Linked DNA regions of Callithrix jacchus. The protein of the gene in region 2 purifies or fractionates together with the protein of the main gene of each other region. This does not show direct contact. Links are inferred from orthologs where the notes say so. Each region holds a gene or a part of one and is shown on either strand. Other genes may lie near its edges.

What was found.
Region 1: the proteins of KPNA6 (region 2) and RNMT purify together in Homo sapiens (co-immunoprecipitation; 3 studies listed by BioGRID and IntAct, counting the BioPlex papers as one, with this or other methods). This does not show direct contact. The link is inferred for Callithrix jacchus from reciprocal best matches to the Homo sapiens genes KPNA6 and RNMT.

Annotation. Positions count from the first base shown.
Region 1 is NC_133514.1:48,708,646-48,712,464, forward strand, and holds part of RNMT (mRNA cap guanine-N(7) methyltransferase), read right to left. Parts: intron 2,048-3,819; coding exon 1,930-2,047; intron 1-1,929. UniProt on the Homo sapiens protein: Catalytic subunit of the mRNA-capping methyltransferase RNMT:RAMAC complex that methylates the N7 position of the added guanosine to the 5'-cap structure of mRNAs. Binds RNA containing 5'-terminal GpppC.
Region 2 is NC_133508.1:68,772,461-68,776,279, reverse strand, and holds part of KPNA6 (importin subunit alpha-7), read right to left. Parts: intron 3,803-3,819; coding exon 3,677-3,802; intron 3,374-3,676; coding exon 3,246-3,373; intron 685-3,245; coding exon 506-684; intron 1-505. UniProt on the Homo sapiens protein: Functions in nuclear protein import as an adapter protein for nuclear receptor KPNB1. Binds specifically and directly to substrates containing either a simple or bipartite NLS motif.

The DNA.
Region 1 (3,819 bases), on a different chromosome or scaffold from region 2:
TGCTAACAGGTCATATCCTCAAGGGCAGTACTGGGAGAGAAGAAAGATTGTTGAAAAAATGTGAAAGCCATTAGTACTACTTCGTTGAACATCCCCTTGCTCTCAGGTTTCTCTGCCTGCCCTCTTTCAGTCTCTTCCAGTCTCCTTTCTTCCCAAAAGGTCGTTTATATACTCACTGCACTTGGAATGTGTCTGTAATACTAAAATTTCCACCATGGACTGCATTATTCACTGGAATAACATGCCATAACATTCTTGTTACCCCATACCCTACTACCTAAGTACATTTTGACATAAATTACACAAGTGATTTCATTACCTGTATGCTGAGAAAGGCTAAATAATTGATCACTGTCGCGCAAAACACCATCAAATAAAGGCAATATGCTAAAGGTAATGCATGTGTGTGTGGGGTTGGTGGGGAAGTTATTCACACATGGTTTTGCTAGTTTTCTCCTCTTCCTCAAGACAAACAAAACAAGCCTACCTTCCTAAGATAAAGCCAATACAAACATTCTTAGATCTAAAGTATAAAAAATATAACATTTTATTGATTATGTCTCTCAAAAGACAATTTAGAATTTACAGAAAGTCTTCCCACTCGACATGTGGGAGTGGCTGGGTGCAGGAACAACTTCAACAGGAGACTTTTGTTTGAGTATCATCTACAAAAACTGAGGAAACTCTAAAGGTCAGTAGCTATACTGCCTTGGGCAAGTCGTTTATCCTCTGAGCCTCAGGCTGCCCACTTAAATGTGAAGTGGCCAGGTGCAGTGGCTCATACCTGTAATCCCAGTACTTTGGGAGGCCAAGGCGGGAGGATCACTTGATGAGGCCAGTAGTTTGAGACCAGCCTGGACAACATGGTGAAACCCCACCAGTACAAAAAATTTAAAAATAAGCAAGGTGTGGTGACACATGCCTGTAGTCATAGGTACTCAGGAGGCTGAGGTGGGAGAATCACTGGAGTCTAGAAGGTGAAGGCCTCAGAGAGCTCTGATTGCATCACTGCACTCCAGCCTAGGCAACAGAGCAATACTCTGTCATTTAAAAAAAAAAAAAAAAAAGAATCGGAAAAAAAGTGAAAAGTTACCATTCTGCCTACTTCATGGAAGTAATTATAAGGTTAAGTGCTTAAAGTACTTAAACTGAATAAATTTTCTAAAGAAGTTTAATATCCATTTGATGAATATGATTCTACTGATCAATAAAAAATATGTTCACTGAATATTTTAGGTCTGTCTGACCAGATATTGTCTGATAAGGAGAAAAAGGAAAAACAAACAATGGCTGTGTGCTTGAAGTTTACATAGATACCTTCACTGCTGCATTAGGACAGGAGAGGTCTCAGCAACAATACAGTCTAAAAGACTGGAACCCTGCTAAACAATTACCGTACAACGAAATTATGCATGGTATGAGCTTGTGTGCACACTGGCCAGGAAGGTTCTAAATTACTCTTGTAACCAAAAGACACTGTTGCAAAGAACTGGTTCTCAACTTGGGGCAATTTTGCCCACCAGAGGACATTTGGCAATGTCTGGAGACAGTTCTTTGGTTACCATAACTGAGGACAAGGGTGTTACTAGAAGGCATCTAGTGGGTAGAAGCCAGGAATGCTACTGAATCTCCTACAATGCACAGCATCTCACAGCAAGAAATTATCCAGAACAAAATGTCAACAGTTCTGAGGTTGTGAAATCCTATTTTAAAGCAGTACTATCTAGAAAACAAAATTTGGTAACAGCATTCTTTCATCAAGTATTTACTGAACAGTCATCATGCAGTTTCTGCATCAAGCTCTGTCCTAAGTGCTGAAGAGTGTAATACACATAATTACTTCATGTCCAGATGGCCTAGCAAGGATCTCAAGAACAGCCGAACAAGTTCACCATGACTGGAATTTTCACATTTTTTCTAAAAACTCACCTCCAAGGCCTGCATTCGTTTTAACAGCATTTTATTTTCATTGTTCTTGATCTTTTCTTCGTAAAATTCCCGAAATGTTTTTTTGTAGACTAGTTTCATATTGTATTTCTTTGCCATTCTGTCCAAAAAAGAATACTTAATGAAAAAGCTTCCAAAATGTTTGTAATTCCTCAACTGACTTTTGTACAACAGTGACATCTTCTGGACTTAACTAAAAAAGCTACCATTTCCTATAAATTCACAATAGAGTAATAAAAAAATGAATCAAAAATAACATATCATACCTAAAAGAAATATGCATTCTAAATCTCAGGGCGTTTCAGATAGCTCTTTTAGTATAACACATAGGTCAGGAAGCAAATGAAAGAGTCTCTGGAGCGATGAGATAGGGAAGAAGAGCTATCTTCTTTTCTACTGGTTCCATTTTACTTTACGTGATCTCTCATAGCAGCACTGAAAATAGCTGCTGACTTCTTTCTTAAAGATTCACTTTCATCTCTGGACATCTCTGGCAAGAAACACTATTAATTTTTCCCCATCATGGACTGCTTCTTTGTGTGTTTTTTTTTTTTCCTTTTTACTTGCAGGTTTCTTTTTTTTAAAACCCAACTTTTAAACTTCAAGATTCTGAAGAGTTCGGCCCAGAGCCCTACTCTCTTCCACCTCTGAGCTATCTGTAGTTCAACTCTCTCTAGTCGCTCACTGATTGTACTGCTTATTAAAAATCTTCACCTGCATGTGTCACTGGCACTTTCTAACTTCCCACATCTAAGGCTGAACATCACTACTCTTTTTCTGCCAGTGTCTGCCATTTCAGTAAATCAATCTAATGATCCATGCCATCTCCCCCTCTTTTACCCACTGTGCTCAACACACATCACTAAGTCCTCTCTACTTTACCTAGAAAATATCAATTTCAAATAGGTCCACTTCTTACTTCCTGCATTTGGCACAATCCTGCTGCTTCAGTCACAATCACCACTTAGTGGTACCAGTCCAAAAACTCATTTTGCTTGTCCCCTGCTTCCATTCTTAACTCTCCCTCAATGAATATTCCAGTCGCAGCCAGATTAAGCTTTCAGAAATATGGACCTGAGTCATGTCACTACCTTCCTTAACACTCTCCACTGGGCTCCAATGCACTCAGGACCCAGAAGATGGTCTCTAAGATATTCATCTGTAAAGGAATGCTGTCTCATTTTGGGACATCCCCCATGATCGGTCATGATGGGCCTTCTTTCAGCATCCTGGACTAGCCTGGAGTTCCCACTGCAAGGCTCTCACACACACTGTCCTCTTGTCAGGAGCATTCTTCCCTCCAGTCTTCAGCTGCCCACCTACTATTCTATCCTTTAGATCCTGACTCAAACATCACTTTACAAGTGTCTTCCTTAAATCTTCAATTATATTAGGTCTCTCTGTTAGACTCTCAGGTATTTTTTTTTCCTCACTGCATTTGCCAAGTTTATAATTACGTATCTGTAGACAACAAGAGGGTATCTGGCGATGACTCCAGGCAGCACATAAAACAAGAGTGGAAGGGAGGGAGGAAATCCTGAAAGTTAGGTGGGAGGGCTTGTATACAGGGTGGCATTTGAGGAGATAGGGTAAGGGCAAATGCTGAGGGGCTGTTGAGGTTTCTATATAAGAGATATAAATAAGGCAGGATTCTGTTACTTCAATTAACCCTACTTGGAAAGGCAACATGAGAAAAGTAATTTTTTTATTCCAGGCAGTGCATTTTCTTTTGTAAATCTCTAAAATAAGCCCTTAGAAATGAAACCAAGTTTTAAATCTAAAAAAATAACATGACTCAAAGAATTGAGACCCAGTTTGAATAGGTTTTGCCACATAAAAAACTTATTTCTGTTCAGTTTCTTAATGAAATGG
Region 2 (3,819 bases):
TGAAAGAGAAGAGTTAAGATCTCTTCTCAAAACTACAGAATCCCAAAGGAAAGAGACCAAAGTGTCAGTTACAGAGGTTCTAGTCCTGATTCCACTTTAAACTAGTTGCATGACCTGGGCAAATCATCAACCTCTCAGGGATGGGTGATGAGTCAATTCAGCACTCTTAGGTACAGCCTAACAGAAAAAGAACTGATTTATCACTACTTAGAAGAAGAAATGGGTGGGAGACAAATCTGAACTCAAAAGATGAGCCAAATCCAAACCCTAGCTGTACCCGAGCTACTCAGTACATGTCCGTTATACTCATGGTAATGTCTGAAACCCTGTGGATGGTGAAACTTGGCTAAGGCAAGAGCTCTTAACTGTTTTGGAGACACAGATGTAAGTCACATGGAAGCTATGGATGCTCCCTAACTCACAGTCTGCCACCACCAACATATGTATACCACATTAGAAGCCTACAGTCTCAGGTTCTGACTTAGATTGAGGAGAAGACACATACCATAGGCTTCCTCTATGAGGCCACAATAGGGATTGACCCCTGAGCCACTGCGCTTGCCCTCTTGCTCTCCAAGCCGCAGAATGTTCTCCAGTCCATTGAGGGCCACTTGCACAATCTTCGAATCCATTACAGTCAGCAAGTCACATAGCGGTTTGATGCAACCCAGTGAGACCAGGTACCTAGAGGCCAGAGACCAGGCAAGTTCTAAACTAATACAGAACAAATGAAGTGCTTGGGCAGGTGCTCTGCACTCTCAGCAACCCATTCTTAATCACTTTTTTTTTTTTTAAGAATTGTGCAGCACCTCATTCCATGCCACAGAATGAGAGTGTTCCCCAACTAAGTTTTTTTTTTGAGACAGGGTCTTGTTCTGTCACCCAGGCTGGGGTGCAGTGCGATCCCAACTCACTGCAGCCTCAAACTCCTGGGCTCAAGTGATCCTCCTGCCTCAGCCTCCTAAACAGCTGGGACTACAGGCATGTACCACCATGCTCAGCTAATTTTATTTTTTGTAGAGACAAGGTCTCATTATGTTGTCCAGGCTGGTCTCAAATTCCTGGTCTCAAGTGATCCTCCCACCTTGGGCTTCCAACGTGCTGGGATTACAGGTGTGAGCCACTGCTCTTACTAAGCCTTGATAACCACATATCCTTTCTCTATCCTCCTGCTGATATTGGTCTAGTTCATTTCACATGTAGATGCTACCACATCTTCCTCCTCCTTGCCTCTAATTTCTCCTTGGCTGCAATATTACCACTCTGAACACATCACTTACCTGCTTAAAATTTTTCATAGGCTCCCTTTTTCCCTGAACTCCAAATTATATGGCACAACAATACCATAATACCACAAGCCCAGCTCAGTCTGGATGCTCTGCTATCTGGCTCCTAGCTCCTTTCCAGGTCTGCCTCCCATTATTCCCTTCCAAGGACAATACGTTCTAGTCACACTCATAAAGGTCTCCAGGTTTGTGATTCTTGTACCTTTATTTATGCTTTTCCCTAAGAGGCCTTTTACAACTCCATATTTATCCTTCAAAGCTTAACTAAACAGCTATCTCTTCTCTCCTAACGCTTTATTTTTTTTATTTTTATTTTTATTTTTTTTGAGATGGAGTTTCGCTCTTGTTACCCAGGCTGGAGTGCAATGGCGCGATCTCGGCTCACTGCAACCTCTGCCTCCTGGGTTCAGGCAATTCTCCTGCCTCAGCCTCCTGAGTAGCTGGGATTACAGGCACGTGCCACCATGCCCAGCTAATTTTTTGTATTTTTAGTAGAGACGGGGTTTCACCCATGTTGCTCTATCTCTTGACCTCGTGGTCCACCCGCCTTGGCCTCCCAAAGTGCTGGGATTACAGGCGTGAGCCACCGCGCCCGGCCCTAACGCTTTATATATACTGACTATGCTCCCCTTAATAGGCAACAAGTCAAGGGCAAGACACCTATCTATTCCCACCACTTTCCACTAATGTTCAGATAATGGAAACTAAAATAAAAGAGTAAGGCTCAGTGGCTCACACCTGTAATCCCAGCACTTTGGGAGGCTGAGGTGGGAGGATCACTCAAGATCAGGAGTTTGTGACCAGCCTGGCTATCATGGTAAAACCCCATTTCTACTAAAAAATACAAAAAATTAGCCGGGTGTGGTGGTGGATGCCTGTAATCCCAGCTACTCAGGAAGCTGAGGCAGGAGAATCACTTGAACCCAGGAAGCGGAGGTTGCAGTGAGCTGAGATTGCACCACTGCACTCCAGCTTGGACAACAAGAACAAAACTCCATCTTAAAAAAAAAAAAAAAAAGAGTACACATATATAAAACAGCGTTCTATTTGCTTCTTTCAAGTCTCATACCCTAAATTAATTTCCCAAAGAAGCTGATTTTTTATTTGAGACAGGACCTTGCTCTATCACCAAGGCTGGAGTGTAGTGGCACAATCATGGCTCATTACAGCTGTGACCTTCTGGGCTCAGGTGATCCTCCTGCTTCAGCCTACTGAGTAGCTGCGGCCATAAGCACACATCACTACACCTTGCTAATTTTTACACTTTTGTACAGATGAGATGTCCCTATATTGCCCAGGCCAGTCTTGAATTGCTGGGCTCAAAGGATCCTTCTGCTTTAGCTTCCCAAGGTGCTAGCATAACAGACATGAGCCACCACATCGGTGAGCTTGTTTTTTGTGCGTGTATTTGTGTGTGACAGACTCTGGCTCTGTCACTCAGGCTGGACTGCAATGGTATAATCACAGCTGAATGCAGCCTTGATCTTCCAAGGCTCAAGTCATCCTCCACCTCAGCTGGGACTATCAGCACAAACCACCACACCCGGCTAGTTTTCATATCTTTTGTAGAGATAAGAATCTTTCTATGTTGGCCAGGCTGAAGAAACTGTTTTGAGTGAGCCACAGCATGGTTAGCCTTGATTTGTAGGAATGACTGAGAACTACATAGATTTTAGATCTCTGGTGGATAGGAAAAGGTAGAGAAAGGATGGATGTCGAGGTCATGTTTCTCTTCTCCAGAAGGGAAAACTGGTAAACTGCTACAGTGTCACTGAATAGATTCCCACATGGCCTACATGGAATCTATTCCAGATTCCAGTGACACTGTAGCAGTTTACCAGTAAAATTCTATTATAGCCGGATTAGACGGCAGACCTGTTTGAGCAAGAGCAGTTTATGGTGACTTACAAACCATAAGGGAGAGCATCCATATCATTCAAGACAATGAGAAAAGAATACCTGATCTGCTCAGGGGTTCCACCTGATGTGGCATTGGTGATGGCCCAGGCTGCCTCTTTCCTTGTACGAAACTCTGCTTTCTGAAGAATTTCGATCAACACAGGAAAGATATTTGCATCTATAACAGCCTGAGAAAATTGAGGGGAAGTAGACGGAAGGAGAAAGTCATTTCAGGAAGATAAATAAATCTAGTCCCTAAATCAGCTAAGACTTAGACATCTTCCCCATCCTGGGAGTTTTCTTTTGTTCTTCCTATACAGGTGACAGGCTACAGAAAAAGCCAGTTTTGGTTACACAGCTTCTTTGACCAATAGCACACATTGACGCTAATTTCTAAAGGGAAACAAATTCTTTCTTCTAAAAGCAAATATTCTACAACCTCCCATGTTCGTAGGAGTTCCCATGCCCCTTGACTTCCCTGCCTGTTTTACCTGTATTTGAGCCCTGTTGCCAGCAGTAATATTTGAAATAGTCCAGCAAGCTTCCTTCCGGATTGACTCCTTGGGACTGCTCAACAAGTGGAGAAGGCAAGGTAGGGCTGAACAGTTAAGAATGACCTAGAACACAAATGCAA